Linked DNA regions of Medicago truncatula. The protein of the gene in region 1 binds, or shares a complex with, the protein of each later gene. Links are inferred from orthologs where the notes say so. Each region holds a gene or a part of one and is shown in the gene's direction. Other genes may lie near its edges.

The links.
Region 2: gamma-tubulin complex component 3 (region 1) and mitotic-spindle organizing protein 1B share a complex: the UniProt entries of both Arabidopsis thaliana proteins name them as parts of the gamma-tubulin complex. The link is inferred for Medicago truncatula from reciprocal best matches to the Arabidopsis thaliana genes SPC98 and GIP1.
Region 3: gamma-tubulin complex component 3 (region 1) and gamma-tubulin complex component 2 share a complex: the UniProt entries of both Arabidopsis thaliana proteins name them as parts of the gamma-tubulin complex. The link is inferred for Medicago truncatula from reciprocal best matches to the Arabidopsis thaliana genes SPC98 and AT5G17410.

Annotation. Positions count from the first base shown.
Region 1 is NC_053048.1:44,058,853-44,066,675, reverse strand, and holds the start of gamma-tubulin complex component 3, read left to right. Parts: upstream 1-4,737; 5' UTR 4,738-4,893; coding exon 4,894-7,130; intron 7,131-7,219; coding exon 7,220-7,508; 3' UTR 7,509-7,685; intron 7,686-7,791; 3' UTR 7,792-7,823. UniProt on the Arabidopsis thaliana protein: Gamma-tubulin complex is necessary for microtubule nucleation at the microtubule organizing centers (MTOCs). Required for the positioning of the gamma-tubulin-containing complex on pre-existing microtubules and for the proper organization of cortical arrays.
Region 2 is NC_053045.1:59,337,316-59,344,945, forward strand, and holds the start of mitotic-spindle organizing protein 1B, read left to right. Parts: upstream 1-4,590; 5' UTR 4,591-4,868; intron 4,869-7,630. Other genes in the region: ABC transporter B family member 3, read left to right, coding at 1-400, 545-811, 917-1,180, 1,297-1,590, 2,378-2,734. UniProt on the Arabidopsis thaliana protein: Required for gamma-tubulin complex recruitment to the microtubule organizing centers (MTOCs). During mitosis, modulates gamma-tubulin complex localization, spindle stability and chromosomal segregation. Necessary for gametophyte development and embryogenesis.
Region 3 is NC_053049.1:2,946,955-2,954,018, forward strand, and holds the start of gamma-tubulin complex component 2, read left to right. Parts: upstream 1-4,025; 5' UTR 4,026-4,254; coding exon 4,255-4,317; intron 4,318-5,139; coding exon 5,140-5,277; intron 5,278-5,903; coding exon 5,904-6,035; exon of another isoform or gene 6,036-6,052; intron 6,053-7,064. Other genes in the region: G-type lectin S-receptor-like serine/threonine-protein kinase RLK1, read right to left, coding at 221-335. UniProt on the Arabidopsis thaliana protein: Gamma-tubulin complex is necessary for microtubule nucleation at the microtubule organizing centers (MTOCs). Required for the positioning of the gamma-tubulin-containing complex on pre-existing microtubules and for the proper organization of cortical arrays.

The DNA of each region.
Region 1 (7,823 bases):
TTTAGGAACTGGAGGATGAACAAAAAAGTACATATATATATATATATTCCTTGGTTGACAATGAAAATATGACAACAACAATAATCTATCACTTCCTCCCAAGATTTTTTTTATCACCATTGGCTCAAAGAGATTTAACGGCACTTTATTAACCCTTTATTATTGTAAAAACAGACTTTTTATTAACGCTTTAGTAAATTATAACCTTTTATCAACCATTTATAAGTCGTTTTTGTTGCTTTAAGTGTATTTTATGAAGTATATTTTATATACATAATAGTTATTACAATTTTTTTTGCTTATTTGTTAAATTTACTATTAATTTATTTAAAAAAATATTTTTCTTTATATGTGGCCACCTCGTGAAAATATTATCAGCTTCGCCGCCGATCATCTTCACAAACATCTTGACCATCACCATCAAACTCAACCGCACATAAAACACCTTATTCATCATTAACCGTAACCTGACTTGGATTATTTAAACCTCCACAGCCACTTTGCACATCGTTATTAACAACATTAGTTTTCACAATATTTTGACACATAACAAGAGAACGTCGTCAATGAAGGAAGGAGAAAATGTCGTCGAAGAATGTGAGCGTGACTTGAATTCTTCCATCTTTGGTGAGAGTGAGAGTTTTGTTTCAAAATTGAGAGTGAGGTAGAAAAAGAAAAGAAGATTTTATGTTTTTTTTCCCTTTCAAGTTGAGCTTTTTTGGGTTTTATTTAAAAAAACTTATCTTTTTAAAAAAACTCAATCATAAACTCGTCATAGACTCGTGATTCTATGCGAGTTTGTACGAGTCTAGCAGAAAAACAATTCTATGAGTGATTCCACTCATTTTTGCCTTCTAGACTCGTACACTCGTACGAGTCTACTCACGAATTTGAGAACCATGCTTATGTATCTTAGTTTTAAAAGCAGTAAATTAGAACTCACCAATTTAACATTAAACTTCCACATAAACATTTTTTATCTGAGTTTGTTGAAGGGAGGGTAATGGTGAAAATATTTTATGACTTAAATGACCAATTTATTACAAAAAAATAAAATGACTAACTTGTTAAAAAATTCTAAGTTAAAAGACCAGAGAAGGTATTTGATAAAAAAAATGGACTAAAAATGAAAATTGGTATATTTAGGGAACTAAAAACATATTTAAGTCATACTTTAATAAAAACATTAATCAACTTTTTTTTTCTTGAATGATATAAATTTGTAAAAATTATATCAACTTTCAACAAAGTTAATATTATAAACAACTTTATTAATTCCAGCAATATACTCGATGGCATCCTGTATTTAGAGATGTAGGTGGTACCAAACTAGGTACAAATTAATATCTTGTGAGACCCAATTTATTTTTATGATAGTCACCAGAGATACTAGCAGTGACTTGATTCCACCAATGCAGACCATTAAAATGCACTTTTAGAGCAGAGCCATTAAGTTAGCACAAATGATCGCCCTCTTTAAAGAGTAAAAAAAATAAAGTTCATATATCTAAGTTGGATGCATTAACCCAACGGCTATAATTCTTGTATGCTTGAACAATGAGTTGTGAATTAGACTCAATCCATAAATGCATCCATCCAATCTTTCTGAAAAACCAATTCAATAGCATTCATGACACAAGTAATCTCAGCATTGAGAGGAATGGAGATATCTATATTAACAGAGAAGCACCCCAGGCATTAGCCTGGTTGTCTCTGAAAATGGCACCACATGCATAAGAACTAGGACATCATCTATTTGTAGCACCATAAATGTTGCATTTAATCCAATCATTTAAAGGAGGCCGCCATAAAACTTCTTTAATCCTAGGCACAATAGGAGGATGAATGTTCGTCGGTCGAGAAGGCCTTCAAAATATGGACACCCTTAATAGAGGATGTGGTAGTTGTTAGAGCAGGTATTATTGTCACACATCATCGTATTACAAATTTTACGGCAATTTAATATCTCGATTATTCTTCTCAACCACGCTACTTGGCAAACACACGATGCAGCAACTGTAAATTCTGCTTCAGTGGTAGAAAGTGTAACTATATGTTGCTTCTAAGTTGACCAGGAAATGACAGCTGACACATTATTTGATGTGTTCTTTTTATCATCAACATCATCGTTATAATCACTATCAGTGTATGTTATTAATTCATCAGCTTCACTCTTTTTGTACCAAATACCAACTTTCACAGTACACTCAAGTATCTCATGATCTTCTTGATAACTTGCAAGTGTTTCGTAATTGGCTTTTCCATGTACTTGTTGATCAAGCATACTGAAAACGTTAAGTCATGTATGGTTGGAGTCAAATACATTAGATTCCAGCTATTTGTTTGTAGTTGGTAACATGAACTATATATATTGTCTCCTTATTCTTTTGACAGTTTGCATCCAGGCACAATGGAGTTTTTTTTTTTTTTTTTTGTGAATTCGCATTTTTCACTTGAAACCTCTCAATATTTTCTCAACATACGTGATCTGATAAATGAAAATTCCTTCATTCTTCTGAATCACCTCCACCCCTTAGAAATAACTCATTTTGCCTAGAGTAGTAATGTCGAATATACTTTTCATAAATTCTTTGAAATCCATGAACATGGTCGCATTGTTTCACATGAGGATTAAATAATCCACACAAATACTAACAATCAACAAGTCATCGTTCAAATCCGTTTTCATGAAGAAAAAAGAAGCGTGCTTGCAGCGGCGAAGCTAGCAAAAAATTTACGCAGGGGCCAATTATAAAGAAATAGTAAAATATTTTTAAAATGAATATGTTAAATCTAAGGATAAAAATGTTTTTAGTCCCATAGTTGGCCGTTTACTAAATAGATTAATAATGTTTTTTCTGATGTAAACAAATAGATTATTTGCAAGAAACTGAATGTCCATTTAATTTGTTTATGACTATTGTCTTAATAACTTTTAATGTTGAAAAAATTTTCACCATAATTATTATTGAGAGCAGAAGTATCAAACCAATATAAATAAATTTATCCATCATGTATTAATAATTTTACTTTCTTACTTATGTTAATTTTCGACAACTAAATTTGTTTGAGATGGCTTAATATTTATTATTTGGGGCAGCAGGATATAAATATATACCAACCAATTGAAGAATAATATATTTTTTGGGTAGCCAAGGCTACCCCTTGGCAAGGAAAGGCTACGCCCCCGCGTGCTTGGAGGTACGCTTCTCAAATCCCTCCTTTTGAAAATAGCTTTCAATCTTGCTATACCAAGCTTTGGGATCTTGCCTTAAACCATACAAAGCTTTCTTCAACTTGTAGACTTATCCTTACTATCCTTCTTCACATAACCCTTATGGTTCCCAACATAAAATGTATTTGTGATCTCTCCATGTAGGAAAACACTTTTCATCTCTAACTAGTATACGCTCCAACCTCTAATAGTTTGCACAACAATGGTTGTTCTTATGATATTCCATCTTGTCACTAATGCAAACACCTCGTTAAACGTATTTGGGAGTATTGTTTTGCCACTAGCCGTGCCTTGTACTTTTCAACATCTCCTTTCTCATTATATTTGGTATTAAATACCCATTTAAATCCATTTTTTTAGCTCCACCGGAAAGTGTAGTCATGCCAAGTTTCATTTCTCTCTATAAAGCTTTCATCTCAACATCCATGGCTCTCCTCCAATTGAGATTCTTCACTGCATATTCAAAGTGCACATGATCTTCAAATTGAGTAAAAGTGACTAAGGTAGGTGTGTTATTCTTCATTTGTTGTTTCAATGTCTCTTAACATATTCTTCTAGCCAACCTGGCTTTTACTTGAGTCTCACACTGATGTTCTCATTGGTTTTTCCAGCCTCACCTCATCGGTCTTATAAAAGTTCCTTCATTATCATTAGTGTCATCTTTCTCATTGTTCCTGTCTCCACCAAACTTTTAGTCTCGTCTTATTAGTCAAGCCCTTAACAATTGTTTTATGTAGTTTCTACACCAAACTTTGTGTTATGATCATATAAGCTATAGAATCCTCACTGACTTCCAACAAAACACGTTAACTTATGCTCCTATTTTCCAGCTTCTTCGTTTTGGTATCAGACACATGTACATGATCAATACATCCAAAGACTCTAAAGTGCGACACTTAAGGCTTAATACGACTCCTTTTGGATTAATGTAATGCCAAAAAAAAAAAATTAGACATTATTTGTTTTGTTACTAATAAAAGTGATGTCATGTTTTTTAAATGAATTTTAAATTTCTTATAAAAGTTATTTTATCATAGATTTTTAAAATAAGTTATAATCTTATCTTTTTTAAAATAAAAATATCAACCCAATCGAAGCAAATCAAATCTAATATGATCTTCATCAATTTAGTTTGATTCAAATTTCACGAGAAGGTTGTAAAAACAAACCAATTAATTTTTATTCATTCAAATTTATTTTCTCGCAAGAACAAAACCAAACCGCTTTACTACATCTAGAAGAACCTAAATTTAATTTTTGGATAGAACAACGATGATTAAAATACTTCTGCATAAAAATTGGAGGATTAACATAAAAAATAATTCTCATATATTTTTTTTTTACGAGATCCTCGTATATGTCATGTTGATTATCAAATGTATATTTCAATTTAATCCCCAAAATAACAAAAAAGAAATTGAAACTTAAAATATATTTGCAATTTGAATGACAATAATCACCTATCCCTTATACTACCTGTACTTTCAATTCCATGATCACACTTACCTGCAATAAAACATTCACTTTCCGCCATTAACCCAAAAAAGAAAATCATTTCCGCGCCCACCCAAAAATCAAAAAAAACCTTTCTCTCTCTCTCTTTCACTCTGAACCACACTCAAAACGACACCGTTTCATCTGACTCTCCGGCGGCAACAATGGACGACGAAGAAGAACAACAAAAACTCCCAGATCTAGTGAAAGCCCTAGTCCACCACCTCCTCTCCCAAAATCTCCCCCCAAATTCCCAACCCATAAACCCTAACTCCCCTCAATTCCAAAACTCCCTCCGTTACGCTCACCGCATTCTCTCTTCCCACTTAACCCCCTCCATCACCCCCGACTCCGCCGCCGTCGCCGATTCCATCAAACGCCGTCTCGCCACCGATGGTCGTTCCTCCGAAGCCCTCTCCTTCGCTGACCTTTACACCAAATTCTCCACCAAAGCCACTCATATCGATAATAAGTGGTCCCTACTTCATCTCTTCAATATTATCTCTCAAGATCGTAAATCCGCTGCTAAATCGAATGACCCTTCCGTTCTTCTTCCCAATTTAACGATTTCGGAGAATAACGTTCAACCGCGCGGTGAAAATAATGGATTTAATGATGGTGTTGTCATTCTTGCGAGGGATCCCAAGAATCGTCGCGAAATAGCGTTTAATGAATATGTGAAATTGATAAAGGAAGAGAATGATGTGACTGAGGAAGCTATGGTGACTGATGTGATTTATGCTTGTCAAGGTGTGGATGGGAAGTATGTGAAATTTGATGAAGAGAGTGATGGTTATGTTTTGTTGGATTCAATTAGGGTTTCTAGGGCTAGTTCTAGTATGGTTTTTAAGCTTTGTGAATTAGGGGTTTTGTTTAAGAGGGTTGTTGGGTTTATTGAGATGAGTTTGGGTAGGTTTCCCGCGGAGGATGTGGGGACGGTTGGGCAGGCTTTTTGTGCTGCATTGCAGGATGAGTTGAGTGATTATTATAAGTTGTTGGCTGTGCTTGAGGCTCAGAGTTCGAATCCGATTCCGTTGTTGTCTGAGGGTGTGAGTTCCGGGAATTATTTATCTTTGAGGAGATTGGCGGTTTGGCTTGCTGAGCCGATGGTGAAGATGAAGTTGATGGCGGATTTGGTTGAGAAGTGTAGGGTTTTGAGAGGTGGGGCGATGGCAGGTGCGATTCATTTACACGCTAGACATGGGGATCCGATGGTTCATGAGTTTATGAAGAGGTTGCTTCGGCGTGTGTGTTCTCCGCTTTTTGAAATGGTGAAGAGGTGGGTTTTGGAAGGGGAGTTGGAAGATATTTTTGTTGAGTTTTTCATTGTTGGGCAGCCTGTGAAAGCTGAATCGCTTTGGAGAGAGGGATATCGGCTCTATGATGCTATGCTTCCTTCTTTTATTTCGGCTTCTCTTGCTCAGAGGATTTTGAGGACTGGAAAGTCCATAAATTTTCTCCGTGTTTGCTGTGAGGACCGTGGCTGGGCTCGTGCCGCGACTGAAGATACAGGGGCAATGGCAAGACGTGGTGGTTTTGGTTACGGGGAAACTGATACCCTTGAGTCATTGGTTGATGAAGCTTCAAAAAGAATTGATAAGCATCTATTGGATGTAATTTATGAGAGGTATAAATTCAAAGAGCACTGTCTTGCGATTAAGCGGTATTTGTTGCTTGGCCAAGGTGATTTTGTGCAATATCTAATGGATATTGTTGGGCCTGAACTTTCTGTGCCTGCGAACACAATAAGCTCTTTCAAACTTGCAGGTTTGCTGGAAACTGCAATTCGGGCGTCAAATGCTCAGTATGATGACCCTGATATTTTGGATAGGCTCAGGGTCAAAATGATGCCACATGAAAGCGGTGATAGGGGCTGGGATGTATTCTCTCTGGAATATGATGCAAGAGTTCCACTAGATACTGTGTTCACAGAGTCTGTGATGGCGAGGTATTTAAGAATTTTTAATTTTCTATGGAAGCTTAAGAGAGTGGAACATGCACTTATTGGTGCCTGGAAGACCATGAAACCAAACTGCATAACTTCTAATACCTTTAATAGATTGCAACATGCTGTTAAGATGCAGCTAGTTTCAGCATTGAGACGTTGCCAAGTTCTTTGGGTTGAAATTAACCACTTCATTTCAAACTTGCAATATTATATAATGTTTGAAGTCTTGGAAATATCATGGTCTAACTTTTTAAGTGAGATGGAAGTAGCCAAGGATCTTGATGATCTACTTGCAGCTCATGAGAAATATATGAATTCGATTGTAGAGAAATCTCTCCTTGGAGAACTCTCTCAGTCCCTTTACAAGTCACTAATAGTAATATTTGATCTTATATTACGTTTTCGGAGCCATGCGGATATTTTATACGAAGGCATTCACGAGTTGCAAGCAAGGTATTGATCACACTTTTCTTCTTTACTGCTTCCTCAATTTCTTCTCCCCATATTGCCATGTTTAACATTTGATCATCTGTTTGTTTCAGAATCACAGAGTCCTCACTGTCCTCTCGAGACCAGAAGAAAACACGGAAGCGATCGACTGATAAGTCATCGGAAGAAGAATCCTGGATTGCTGATGGGAGAAAAGCCATAACAAAACACGCTGGTGTTTTTCTCCAAAAAATGGAACAAGATCTGGATGCAATATCTAAGGAGTATTCATCATTGCAAGAGGATTTCATTTCTCAGTTGCCTGTGCAGCAGCATGTTGATCTAAAGTTTCTCTTTTTCCGTCTTGACTTCAATGAATTTTATAGGCGGGTTGTGTCGTAGCATATAGGAAGTTTGTGAATATGATCGAGGATCAGATCGATGCATTGTTTACTTCAACAAGATAAGACATCAACAAAGCTTTGCACTTAGCTAACTTCCATTGTGTGTTTTGAGTTGAACAATTGCGGTTCTAACTTCCTGCAGACCAACGATTCAACGAGTCTTAATTAACTAAAGGTATGGTGGATATCTCAACCACTTCATTTTCCCACCAAATGTTTTCTTAGAAGATTTTGTGACGTTCTCATTTTCTCTAGGTAATCAATTTTTGTGGTTTTGCCAGGTAGTTTGTGACAGATTTGAAGCTTTTCATAT
Region 2 (7,630 bases), on another chromosome or scaffold:
TTGGGCATTAATATTTGTTTCCCTTAGCGTGGCATCTTTCATTTTTCATCCGTTAAGGTCATACTCTTTTGCTGTAGCTGGTTCTAAATTGATAAAAAGAATCCGGTTAATGTGCTTCGAGAAAATAATTCACATGGAAGTAGGATGGTTTGATAAAGCTGAGAATTCAAGTGGTGCGCTTGGTGCAAGGCTGTCAACTGATGCTGCTTCGATTCGAACTTTGGTTGGTGACGCACTCGGTTTGCTTGTTCAAGATATCTCTACAGTTATTACAGCCTTGGTAATTTCCTTTCAGGCAAATTGGCAGCTTTCTCTCATCATTCTTGTTTTGTTGCCTCTACTATTAGTAAATGGATATTTTCAAATCAAGGCCATGCAAGGATTCAGCACAGACGCAAAGGTTTGTGCCTTACACAATGTGCTTCAATTGCGTCACAATGCATTTTTGTCTCTAAATTTATTTAGTACATATTTTGTTTCTATATGAAATTTGTACTAATCTTCATTTGACATGATGTTTCTATGCTCTAAATATGTTTCACAGAAACTATACGAGGAAGCAAGTCAAGTAGCGAACGACGCAGTAGGGAATATCAGAACAGTTTCTGCTTTCTGTGCCGAAGAGAAAGTGATGGAATTATACCAGAAGAAATGTGTAGTACCATTCCAGACAGGAAAAAGGCAGGGTTTAGTCAGTGGAACTGGTTTTGGGTTAGCAATCTTCTTTCTGTTTTGTGTCTATGCAATCAGTTTTTATGCTGGCGCCCAACTTATTGAGAATGGCAAAACTTCGATGTCAGGAGTTTTTCAAGTAAGTTACGGTCCCAACTCGGAGGCCATTTCAGATATAGTGCTCTTTGGTTGAACTCTGAGCTCATCACATTCTTTTAGCATTAAACATTTAATTTCTTTTCAGGTATTTTTCTCTCTCACAACGGCAGCTGTCGCATTATCTCAATCCGGCTTCATGGCTCCAGGAGCTAGTAAAGCCAAAAGTTCAGCTGCTTCAGTATTTGCTATTCTTGATCAGAAATCAAAAATAGATACCAGTGATGAATCAGGAATGATACTGGAAGATGTGAAGGGAGAGATTGAGTTCCATCATGTCACTTTCAAGTATCCAACCAGACCTGATGTTCATATATTCAAAAATCTTTCCTTGACCATTCATTCAGGACAGGTAAATTAAAAATATTATATATTGGTTTAGTGCATAATTCTCACAAGAATTCACTATCAAAAAATCCATCTAGGTTTTTCTAAGAGAGAAGCTTAACGTTTGGTTGTTTCAATCAGACAGTTGCTCTAGTAGGTGAAAGTGGAAGTGGAAAATCAACAGTGATCTCATTGTTGCAAAGATTTTATGATCCAGATTCAGGTCAGATTAAACTGGATGGAACAGAAATCCAAAAGCTACAGCTTAAATGGTTTAGGCAGCAAATGGGACTGGTAAGCCAAGAGCCTGTGCTGTTTAATGACACCATCAGAGCTAACATTGCCTATGGAAAAGGTGGTAATGCAACTGAGGCTGAAGTTATAGCTGCAGCAGAACTAGCAAATGCTCATAACTTCATTAGTAGTTTGCAGCAGGTAAACTACAGAAATTTATGAAGCATTGACACGTACACAAACACTAAATTGTTTATGGTTCTGTTAAGAGAGGAAACCAAACTGAACTTTTACTACTTCGGTAAGAATGAACCAAACCTTTAATGGTTCATCCAGGACCTAAACAAACTAGTATAAAGGTTCGGTGCACCGATTCAGTGGTTTCAAACCAAACGGAAAATATTTTTACAAAAAAACGAACTGTACTTTTTTCAAACTGAACTAGTTCTTTGTGAATTTAATTGTACCAAATTGCTATTATTAATTGATAATTAGGGCTGTTGAAGAAAACCAAAAACGAAACCAAATTGAATTTTATGACTGTTTAAAAAACTAAAAATCGAATCACTCATAAAAGAACCAAACTATGATAGATAGTTCATGAACTGAACCGAACTGAGTTCAGTCCAGTTCGTGAACTGTCAGTCACAATTAGATTTTTTCGGTATGGTGGAGTTCGCTTCGGTTTAACTGTTCCATACATTTTTTTTAAACAGTCCTAACTGACACGATGTTGACTCTAACACGAAGGCATTAGTAAGAATTTAAGAAAATAAACGTGTAACCGCATGTGTTAGAATCATCGTGTTAGACACTAGACATGTCTTTGATCTAAAGTGTCAGTACTACATAGCACACAATACTCAATGAGCTGAACCTGTTCTTAAAACTCTTGCTACGAACGTGTGAATTGCAATATTTCAAATAACTAGCTACCTATGATGCATGCCTTACGAGGTTCTGAATTCTAGAAAAATAACATATGCAGGGGTATGATACAATAGTAGGAGAGCGAGGGATTCAACTTTCTGGAGGACAGAAGCAACGTGTGGCAATTGCAAGAGCCATAGTTAACAGGCCAAGAATATTACTACTAGATGAGGCCACAAGTGCCCTTGATGCAGAGTCTGAAAAAGTGGTTCAAGATGCACTTGATAGAGTGAGGGTGGACAGAACCACCATTGTGGTGGCTCATAGATTATCAACAATAAAGGGTGCAAATTCAATTGCAGTTGTTAAAAATGGAGTGATTGAAGAGAAAGGAAAACATGACATATTGATCAACAAGGGTGGCACCTATGCTTCTTTAGTAGCATTGCACACAACTAGCACTGCTTCATCTTAAGACTCTTTCAACCTATTCAATCTATTTTTGCATGCTTCTTCAAAAAAAAAAAAAAAATTCTATTTTTGCATGGTTTCTAGAATAAGTTATTTTGAAAAAGTTTTTTTTTATACACACACATTCTGCTGCATCTAATATATAGAAGCATTTATATACATGCTTATTACCTCCAGTACGATTGACACTATTGTGTACATTTTTTTTTTTTTTTGGTAAAATGCTTAAGTATACATTTAACAATGAATTGTGTCATTTTAACAACAAATTATAGGGTTAACACAATTTAAGTAGCACCACTTCATCTTAAGACTCTTCACATTGTTGTATTTATATATACTGTTACTTTTTATATTCTATAAGAAATCTTGATTTTCTATCAATTAATTTAATAACTGTTTCATATTTTTAGGTAAAAATATGATTTTTCATACGGTACTTTGACTATATCTTCTGTTCTCCTTCTAATTCATTAAATTTGATATTATTTAGCTTTGTTTATGTACATTTTCTACTCTCTTTTTTTTTTTTTTTTATATAAAAAAACTTTACATCATCATTTTGTTTTCTAATTCTATTTTTTCACGTTGTATTTTATTTTAAAAAATCTAAAATTTAAATGTGATAATTGATTATTATTATTATTGACGATAAAGAAAAGTAAGTAAAAGATAATCAATTACAAGACACATAGGAACTCCTGTATTGTTTAAATGGGTACCAAAGGTTGGATAAATGTGGTAAGTATAAAAAAAAGTTGGATAACTCAACTGATTTGAACCTAAAGATTAAAGAAGCCGAGGTGATAAAAATTTAGGGTAGTTCAAGTTCGTTGATTTGAACCTAAAGATTAAAGAAGCCGAGGTGATAAAAATTTAGGGTAGTTCAAGTTCGTTTAATGAGAAAAATACTAACATATAACATAATAATGTTTGTCATTAAAAAAATGCTTAAGTGGATTTCACATAGTTCATTTTATAATTTTGGATATCAATAACTAATAATATCTAATGAGCATTCAATTTCTTCAACTCAACATTTCAATTGTTGTAATAAATAAATTCTATAAATAACCATATCATTACCATTAAACAAAACTAATTTATTTTAAAATATTTTATTAAGTTGGGTCCGCAAAAATAAACAACAAAGATTCTTTTAATAAACATCATTCTCTAGAAGAACTCAAAATTATCGTTTGACAACATAGGTATGTATTTAGATGTTAAATAAACGAAGCACACACCATTGTGATGCTCGGTGAAAAGGGAGCGGAAAGGTGGTTTGTTACCCCTAAACAAATATGAAGCTAATTAAAAAAAGGTAATTAACTTTCGTTTGGTTCGAGAGTTTTGGAAGGGAGGAAATATATTTAATTTGATGTGTTTGATTCAATTTTAAAAAGGCCTTTAAGATTTTCATATTATATAATCCGAAGTGAGTTTTTTTTTTCCTTTTTTTGTAGAACATTGTTTTTTTCCACCAATTTGGATTATAAAATTTGAAAAGAAAAAAAAAAAGTACTTCGTATTTTATAATACGAACACTCCTTGTACAACATACTTGGAAACATAAAATCCGAACTCCCTATACATCTTCTTATGTTAAGAATTCATGAGAAAATATATCAGATTATATAATCTGAATCCTGCTATCAACACAAAAGACTAAGCATTTTTGTGTAGGATAACCAATTTAAGAATCATATTAAACATCCTAAGGCCATTGTTCGATGTTTCCGCCATGTCTTATAAAAAAATCCAATTTTTAGGCTAGTTGATGAGTTTTTACTTCAAAACTTGTGATATTGGATTATTAACCCACTACAAGGATTCTAAATCGTGTTTTTCTAGTTCGAATTAATAAACACAAACATCAAAAATATGCTGGGAATAAGACTAAGGGCAAAGAAAGTATGGTGAGAAAAATAATTGCCTAAAAGAATACACAATTACCGACCTAAACTCATCTATAAATACAAAATTTGCGACCTAAAATCTCAAATTAATTTTAATTCTTATTCTTTTTTCCACCGCCGCTCCGTCCAAGCCTTTCATCTCTGTTTCGCAGTTGGCATAGGTTCTGATTCTGCAATCTCTCTGCCACGCCGCAACATCTTTCACCTTCGCATCAGCAGGTTTTATCGATTGATCCTTTCTTTTCTTTCAGAATTACTACCGATCACTTATAAATCACAATTTTAACATTGAATTGAATTAAGTATTATTGCTGATTGTTTTTTTATGAGTCACTTTTTGTTGCCGTACCGAGTACTGTGAATCACAATTGCAACACTGCATTGAATTTTGTTATTTTCTTAAATTTTACTATTATTATTATTGTTATTATCAATGTCACGATTGTTTGCAATGATCTTGTGAACACAATTAATTTATGAGAATATAATCCCCGTCAACACTTATATGGAGGTCTCCTTTTTCATGGCAACGGATTCAAGTGCTTTCAAATGATGAATCCAAAAAACAAAAGAATCATACCATTTTCAATATAATTAACAATATTGATTTGTTGTGTTAGTGTGATTTTCAACAATATTAATATGTAAAACTCAAACGAACTTTGTTAATTATTTTTAAATGAATTTACATGATAAAGATCAAAAGAATTATGTTTAAAGTAATTAAACTCACAAATTTAGCGAGAGGAGAACTTGTGAGAATTATACCATTTTTTTTTTTCTTTCTGGCTAAAATGACTTTAGAGTGAGAATTAGGGTTCCCCTAAGAACATTAGAAGAGTGATGAGCCATCAATTGCCAATGTTTGTGAATTACGCTTTTTGCAATATGATAGTGAGAAGATAAAGGAAGGAAGTGTGTTGATAACAAGTGGTCATGTAACCAGTGATGATGAATCATAGAAGGATGATAACAACAATGAAAAGAACAAGTCGGCGTTGAGTTTCAAGAGTTCTAAAGACAAGATTTTGCAAACATCTCAAGATTGCAAGGAACCGCTTCTAATAACGATATTGAAGAGAAGAAGATTGATGAAAGTGAAACTTAATTCGGGTCCATACATGTTATGAATTTTTAATGAGCTTCCAAGTGATGTTTTTGAATATGAAACCATTTAGCGTCTTTTTTTAGTTTATATTTTTTATTAGGAATGATATTATGATTTTGTGTGGATACCCTTGATGTTGTTATGTAATTTGCCTTGTTGGCAATTTTTTTAATTATAATATCACATGTATTATTGAGCCTTTTATGAAATACATAATAAAACCGCTTAATAATCCATAAATATATTATAACTAAAAATCCTCAATAAGGAAAATTACATGACAACATCAAAGGTATCCCACACAAAAATCATGCTATCATTTCTCATACAATAAACATAAACAAAAAAGAGACACTAATTGGTTTCATCTTCAAAATCATCACTTGGAAGCTCATTCGAATCAAAATTCATAACAACTATTGACCCTAATTCAGTTTCACTTTCGTTAATCTTCTTCTCTTCAATATCATTATTAGAGGAGTCATGTTCCTTGCAATCTTGTGATGTTTGAAAAATCTGTCTTTAGGAATCTTGAACCTCAACACCTGTCGTGGCGGTTAAATACAAAAGCTTTCTTGCAATATGATATATGGTAAAGAGAAGATGAAGGAAGTGTGCTGCTAACAATTAGTCATGTTACGAGTGATGATGAATCATAGAAGGATGATAGCCACAATGAAAAGAACAATTCGGCGTTGAGTTTCAAAATTTCTAAAGATAAGATTTTTCGAACATCTCAAGATTGCAAGGAATTGCCTCTTGTAACCATATTGAAGAGAAGAAGATTAATGAAGGTGAAACTTAATTCGGATCAATACATGTTATGAATTATGATTTTAATGATCTTCCAAGTGATGCTTTTGAATATGAAACCAATTATCATCTCTTTTTTTGTTTATATTTTTTGTTACGAATAATATTATGATTTTTGTGTGGGATAGCCATGATGTTGTTATTTAAATTTGCCTTTTTGATAGTTTTTTAAATTATAATATCACACGTATTATTGAGCAGTATACAAAATACAAACGGCATAATAATAAAAATTCTCAATAAGGAAAATTACATGACAACATTAAGGGTATGGAACACAAATTATATTATCATTTCTCATTCAATTTATATAACAAAAAAAAAGACACTAGTTGGTTTCATCTTCAAAACCATCACTTGGAAGCTCGTTCAATTCAAAATTCATAACAATTATTGACCCTAATTCAGTTTCACTTTCGTTAATCTTCTTCTCTTCAATATCGTTATTATCGTTATTATAGGAGTCACGTTCCTTGCAATCGTGATGTTTGAAAAAATCTTGTCTTTAGGAATCTTAAACCTTAACACCCACTTCTTCATTTCATTGTGGCTATTATTCTTTAATAATTCATCAAAATCACTTGTAACATATCAATTGTTAGCAACACAACTTGTTCCTTAATCTTTTCATTATCATCCATGATGTTGCAAGAAAGTCTGTGCCTTTTACTGTCATGATTGTGATTCACATCAAAATTGGCAGTTTCCTAGTAACTCCATGAGACGAGTTCAACTGTGTTTGATCATCAATAATAACTCTTTTGTTCTTATATGTTATTCGGAGATTCTCACTCTAAAACCATTTTCTGAACAAAAAAAAAAAAGGAATAATTCTCACTCACAAATTGTCCTCTTCAGTCTTCATAGAGCATGATTAGAATGTTATAATTTCTACTCGCTAATTTTGTAGCTAGGTTTTATCATGTTAATTCATTTAAACATGATTCTTGCGAGATTCATCGCGTTAATTCATTTAAAAATGTTAGAAAATTACACTAGCACATCTGATCAATATTCTTAATCATATTGAATATGATATGATATTTTTTTTTTTGGATTC
Region 3 (7,064 bases), on another chromosome or scaffold:
AGAAGGTGAAAGCAACCATGGAGAGGTGTTGGTTTCTGAAATATGAAAATCACCAGCTGCTATGGTACTTTTGGTTTGAGCTACAACACTGATGGATTGAAGAATCAGTGAGAAGAGAAAAAAGGGAAGAAGTAGAAAGAAAAAAAAAATTATCAAAGCACTAAAATATAAAAGACAGGAGATGCCTGAACCAATACAACAAAGTCAGTAAGTGTATAACCTGCGAAAAGGAAAATTAGATCTATCCCTGTAACGGAAACATCTAGAGGAAAGAGGTGGCTAAGTCCACCATAATACAGAAAAGCTAAACAGATTGTAGAATCAAATTGATCCATATGATTTATAAAAATTTCATCATCATTAGTCTTTCTTCTTTTCTTTTTTTTTGGCACCAAGTCATTAGTCTTTCTTCTATTTGTTAAATATTCTGTGTAGACTTGGTCATCTCATACTAATAGACAAAAAATGTTATAGAAAAAGAAATGAGAGTAATAATAGACAAAAGATAATAAATGGTGGTGATTATAATAGAAAAAAGACGTTAAAACCCATTGAAAAAAAATATGGTTCTACATGAAAAATTCAAGATTTTTTCCATACATGTTTAAGACATTAAAGTATGGATTTGCACAAAAAAAAATTGGAATTTTTCAACTAGGATAAATTAATTATGAATTTTTAAAACGGTAAAAACTTAAAAAACAAAATAACGGAGATTTTGACTTATAAATCAAATTTTTAGTTATTTGTTTGGAGAGACATCTATAAAAATACATAAAAAAGATTTGCATAGTTTCATGAGATTTCAAAAATGTTTTGATTTATTTTTACTCTCAAACCAAAATATGCAAAATTGTAATTTTGTTTCGAATAAATGTATACTCATAAGTCAAATTTCATTCTTTAATTGTGTAGTCATGGCTAGAACATCGTAAGAATCTTCACGATAAAATTTTAAAGTTTTAAGAAAAGAGAGAGATTAATCATGGCATAAAAAATCATAATTATCAGTCCCTAGTGGAATTTTTTTTGTGTGTAGTCTTATTACAAGGTTAGTATATTTGTTTTTTTATTTATTTTACTGAGACATTTTTCAGACATCAGGTTAATTTGAGCAATTGACCCTGTAAATAAATTAAATATAAAAGGATCCCTAAAAAAATTATATATAAAAGGAATACATTATTTGAATTGACTTTTTCATTTCTTATTATATCTTGTAACAAACTTACCTATAATCTATTACTCTCTCCTTATTTTATTAAACTTGTTTTGATATTTTCACACATATTATGAAATATAGTTAATTTTGTATTGCAAAGAGAAATTATAAATGATTTCACAAAATTATCCCTTATTAATGATATGTGAAAAAAAGATTAAAAAATTGAAAAAAATAGAGTAATAAATGGTAAATGGTACGATAGGAATGATGCATTTCAATTCTAAAGCGACTTATAATAAAACCAATTTTTTTTCTTTTAAAGTGACTTACAATAAAATACGAAGGATAATGCCTATTAAGTATGCATAAACATAATACACCCATAACGCTAGAATTCGGACTCAAAAACACACCAATAAACTATCATATGTGGAGCAAAGGAAAGTAATAACCAGTATCAAAGTAACCACAATGAGCAGCAACAACAACAACAAACCTAGATTTAATCTAGGAATAAAGTGAAGAGTACAAAACCACAAGCAAAAGATAAAGAGATAAGAGAAACAAACACACATAGAAATGTTTACCCAGTTCGGCCCAACTTGACCTACTATGGGGAGAGATTGATCTCTCCAAGCCATTATCAATGAGTTCTTACAAAGAGATACAAAAATGTTACAAGAAATTGGGGAAATGTTTACAAATGTTTTCCTACCCAAGAAAACCCCTCAAAAGAACCTTAATCAAAGGGGCAATGCTATGTTGTAGGAAAGATGGCCGCAAGAATAGCAAGAATAACATTGTCCGCTCTTTTCTAAAAAATAAAAAAGTATTAATCCTTATGTAATGGAAATCACGCCCATGTGTTGGTGAAAATGCACGGCTTGGATATTTTCGTGCGTTTTGTCTCTTCGGGTTCCCTTAAAAACAAGCATTATCCTAAGCAAAAACCCTTAACTCTAAAGTTATCTAATTTGATTTTTTTAAGTTTCTTTCTCTTGAAGCCTTTTATAGTGCTCAGACCCGGCAAAAATGTGCCCCAATTTCAGCAAATTGTGCCCCAATTTACCCAATAGTACCACAGTACACATATTTCCTTATCCAAAATCGGACTTCGATTTTACCAAATTGTGGTCTGAAAAATGTCGAAAGAACACTCCAAAAGTGGGCCAAAATCGTGGCCTGATTTTGGCCTACCCTCTATTCATCAAATTTGAGTCATAATACAACATTTTTTATGTATTTTTCTTTTCACATTTTAGCGTACTATATTAAGGTTAAATATGTTTTTGATCTCTATAAATATATCACATTTAGTCCTCATAAAAAACATTGACATATTTATGTCTCCATAAAAAATAAAAAAAAATTAGCATGCTTATGCAAATATTTTTAAAAAAGGCTAACCATATTTTTAAAAAAGACTAACGAGTGTCTTTGGGGTATTGATTAAAGTATTAAAAGTGGTAAATTTATCTAAAAAAACGTGTAATTATTGGAGTAACTTATATTTTTAAGACAAAATTTCATTTAATGAAATCATTAAATAATGTCCGTAGGGCAATCGTTAACAAGATGTACCAAAGGAAACTTAAAAAATTCTTATGGCAATTAGAAACGAAATGTAATGTAATGTATTTATATTTATATAAATTATAAAGGTGTTTAACCCGATTTAAGTTTTCAAATCCACGGTGGTAGTTGAGAGCTTGAAACGTGTTTCTTCTAACGTATCAGGTTTGATTTTTCCCGATATCAATTTCGATGAGTTTTTTTTTTTTTTTTTTTTAAGTTTTCAAGATTGATACTATTAATGAGAAAGAAAAAAAAAAAGAGTAAATTACACTTCCCTCCCCTCAAAGATGCTTGAATTACACTACCCTCCCCTCTTATGTTAAAATATACATTCCCCTATCCTCTTATTCAAAACTTATTTGAATTTTTTTCACTCCCCTCCCCTAAGAGAAGCTTGAATTACATTCCCCTCCCCTCTTATGTTAAAATATAGAGTAAATTACACTCCCCTCCCCTCAAAGATGCTTGAATTACACTCCCCTCCCCTCTTATGTTAAAATATACACTCCCTTCCCCTCTTATTCAAAACTTATTTGAATTTTTTTCACTCCCCTCCCCTAAGAGAAGCTTGAATTACATTCCCCTCCCCTCTTATGTTAAAATCTACACTTTACTCCTTCAATATTAATTTTTATTTTATTTTTAATAATCTAGCAAAAAAATAATAATCTAACACACTTCAAAAAAATAGTATTGTGGGTCTATTTTAATATAATAAAAATTGAATACATATTTTTCGCTATTTTTTATTCACAATTTCATTAACATGTAGTTTTAAACCCTATTATAAAATATAAACAACCAAAACTAAAATTAAAATATGTGAAAAATTACTAAAGACAAATTAAAAGTTAATTTTATACTCTAAATTATAAAATCAGTAGCAAAATGTTTAAACTTAATTATCATTGACATTTAAATTATAAAGAAATGAATTAATTTTTCTTAAATGGTGGTTTAAAATTGAAATATATTATAAAAATATTTATTTATGTTTAAATAGATTAAAGTGTAGTCCATAGTTAATTATTAAGGGAGAGTGTTGTAATTTAAACATCTTATAAGGGAAGGGATTATAAATTTTATTTTTCAAGAGAGGGGAGTGTATATTTTAATATAAGAGGAGAGGGGAGTGTAATTCAAGCATCTTTGAGAGGAGGAGAGTGTAATTTACTAAAGAAAAATAACTTGGACAATTTCAGAGATAAAATCAAAGTGAGTTTTTGACTTAAAAATAAATAAAATAAAATAAAATAAAAAGGAGTTATTTTGAAAAGTGAAGAATGGAATGGAGAGATTCCTGAAAAGAAGAAACCAGACAAAATTCAAAATAATAGAGAGAATAAAGAAGTAAGAAGAAAATCTAGTGAGTTAACAACTTCACTTCACTCTCTCTGCATTTATCTTCCCATAGTTCATAACATCTCTTTCCCATTTCGATTCGCAAATAATCTTTAAAAAAGCGATTACTGAAAAGCGCTTTTTCTTCCGATCTGCTTTCACTGCATTTCAACATGAATCAAACCGCCGCCGCAGGGTTTGAAAATCTTATCGGCTATTACGATCCTCCTGTTCAAGTACGTTCCTCCCTCTCTCTCTCTCTCACTTATCGAACCATTCTCAGATCTATTGTCACCTATCAACTTTTTGTTCTCTTCATTTTGGTGCTTGTTTTTCGAATTTCTGTGTAGTCTCTAAGAATGTGATTGCTCAAGTATTCTCTAGTAGTGTAATTGCCTTCGATTCTATTCAATTTTTACCTAACATTTTATCTTAGTTCAAAAACCTAACTTCAATTCAAAATACATATGTTTATACTGTATATAAGCTTTTTTATACGGCACATTGCTCGGAATTAAGAAAATGTACTATTTGTTATGCCAAGGGAAGGACCTTTTTTTTTTCAATTTTTTTTTTTTAACAAATTAGACAAAGTGAACTATGCTATGATTATTGGTAAGAAATTAAGGTCCTGGCTATGCTTTGTAGTGTCATCAAGTAGCGGCTATAGCAGAAACAGAATTTTAACATATCGTTATGGTTTTATGACACACATTTTAGTTCAAAGTATCCTCAAATATCGGATATAGGAAAGCATAGCATAATTTGAACAAACTACTACATTGCAATCTGTGATTGACAACAATGTTATTCTTTCATCAAACTGCATAGATTAGGTTTTTTAAATATTTTTGAAAATTATTTCACTTTGTGTCCTCTATATGCTGCCATCTTATTTGGCTTGGTGTTGTATTGGTTTTTAAAGTTTTCTCTTTGTGTGTGTATGTATTCATTTCTATTCATATGTATTCAAGTACTGTGTATATCTGCATTCATATTCAATTTAGGGTTTCAAGATTTAAAAATTTAAGCTATTGTTTTGTTCTACTGAAATATAGGAGCTTATTGTTATTGATGAAGTCCTCTCTGCTATGGTTGGAGTTGAAGGGCGTTACATTTCAATCAAAACACTTCGTGGAAAGAAGGATGAGATTATTAATTTCCTGGTTGACCCATCTATGGATTTGGCACTACAGGTGAGATTTGCATAATTTTTCGCTACCATGGTTTGACCCGCAATCATAACATTAAAGGTGTTAAACCTCCCCCTTTTTCTTTATGGTGATAATAACTGATAACTGATAGGAAGTTTAGATGGCAAGCCAAACTATAGCGGTAACGGAAATACTTTCTATACATTTTTTTTTTTATAGACTAGAAGTTTATAAGGTGTTTAATATGTTCAGTATCATAACCTAGTGCTAAAATAAAATAGGTTCATTAAAGCCATTTAGGTTTTACTTTCATGTTTCTGTATTATTATTTTTTGTAAACTTTAGAAATGGAATATGAAGCATCTATCTTGCAATTCAAATACTGCAATGCTTTTTAATTTAAGTTGCACTCTGTGTTTGGCAGTAATTCAAAATAAAGGAAATTATTTTCTGCAACCATGTTTTCTATATTCGGTCATTGTTTCAAACTGTGATTTGCATCCATAACTCTGCCCCCGAATTGTGTTTTTGGAGGTATCTATTTGCTAAGAAAGCTGATGGGGAATGTAAATTGTCCTATGCTATAGCTGTATTATTCAGATTAGATAATGAACAGTATAATTTAATACAATGATAGAGCTGAGTCTGAGCCAGTTTTGTTGTTGCAGGAGTTGGCAAAACGGATATTTCCTCTATGTAGGAGCTTTTTGTTGATCAACCAATTTGTGGAATCAAGGTCTCAGTTCGAGAATGGCCTAGTCAATCATGCCTTTTCTGCCGCACTTAGGGCATTCCTTCTCGTATGTTTTTCTGAACAGTGAGTCAGTTGGTTGATTTACATTTCGCATGAAGTAATTGTTTGCTTCTTGAAAATATGTTTTCATGTGTCTGTGTGTCTATATATATTCACCTTTTATAAATGGCCCTTAACTTCTTTTGGTAACCTGTTATTGTCTGGTAGACTAATTATTTTTCTTAAGTATTTCAAGTGTTAATGTTTAGTGCATGATGCTGGCTCAGTATACCTGAAGTAGCACCTTCTGATTCTTTTCCGAACGAAGCTTACAGCACACTACCTTTATTTATCTTCTGTTGGGGGCAGGGGATATAAATAGATCATAGTTTCTACGAGGAACTGTTGTTTAGTGATCACTTTTATTTATTTATTTACTTTGAGAATACTCTTTCCTAGGGAATGGCAATCAAACTTTAGTTAAAAGTGTGCATTTAGTTTGTTAATTTTCTCCCCGGTGCCAATTTTGGTGGGCTAGTTTAGCTTCTTAAAAATAAAAGTTTGGTAATTTTCATTTTCTGGACTACAGATTTCTAAGATTGAAAATCAGTAGAGTTAGTTGTCCTGTAGTGTTATGCAAAACCGGCGCTTTAGGTTTAAGGTGTGCCCGACACACACATGACATGTGTCTGACACTCAATTTTAGTGTTGGGATATAATTTGTTTAGGCTTCGATATGTCGAGGACACTGCTCTGACATCTAGCATACCCTTCCGTTTGGCCTGAAATTAAAAGGAACATGGTTGGTACCAAAAACTTTTTTTTTTTTTTAAATGGTGATGAAAGTCCTTTCATTGACTTAATATACTTTTTCACTATTTGGTAATAGATGGATGGATTAAAGGTGATAGACAAAGGTTCAATATCTCATCATATTGTATTGAATCTTTTTTGCAAAGAATTTATCTAAAAAAAAAAAGAATATTTTGTTGCAAAGAATCAAAGTGCTTAACTAACTAGTATTTTTAGGCGTGACTCGTTATGGTAGGAAAATGTAATACTTCAAGTTCTTTCTGTTTGTGTGTCATGGAGTGCT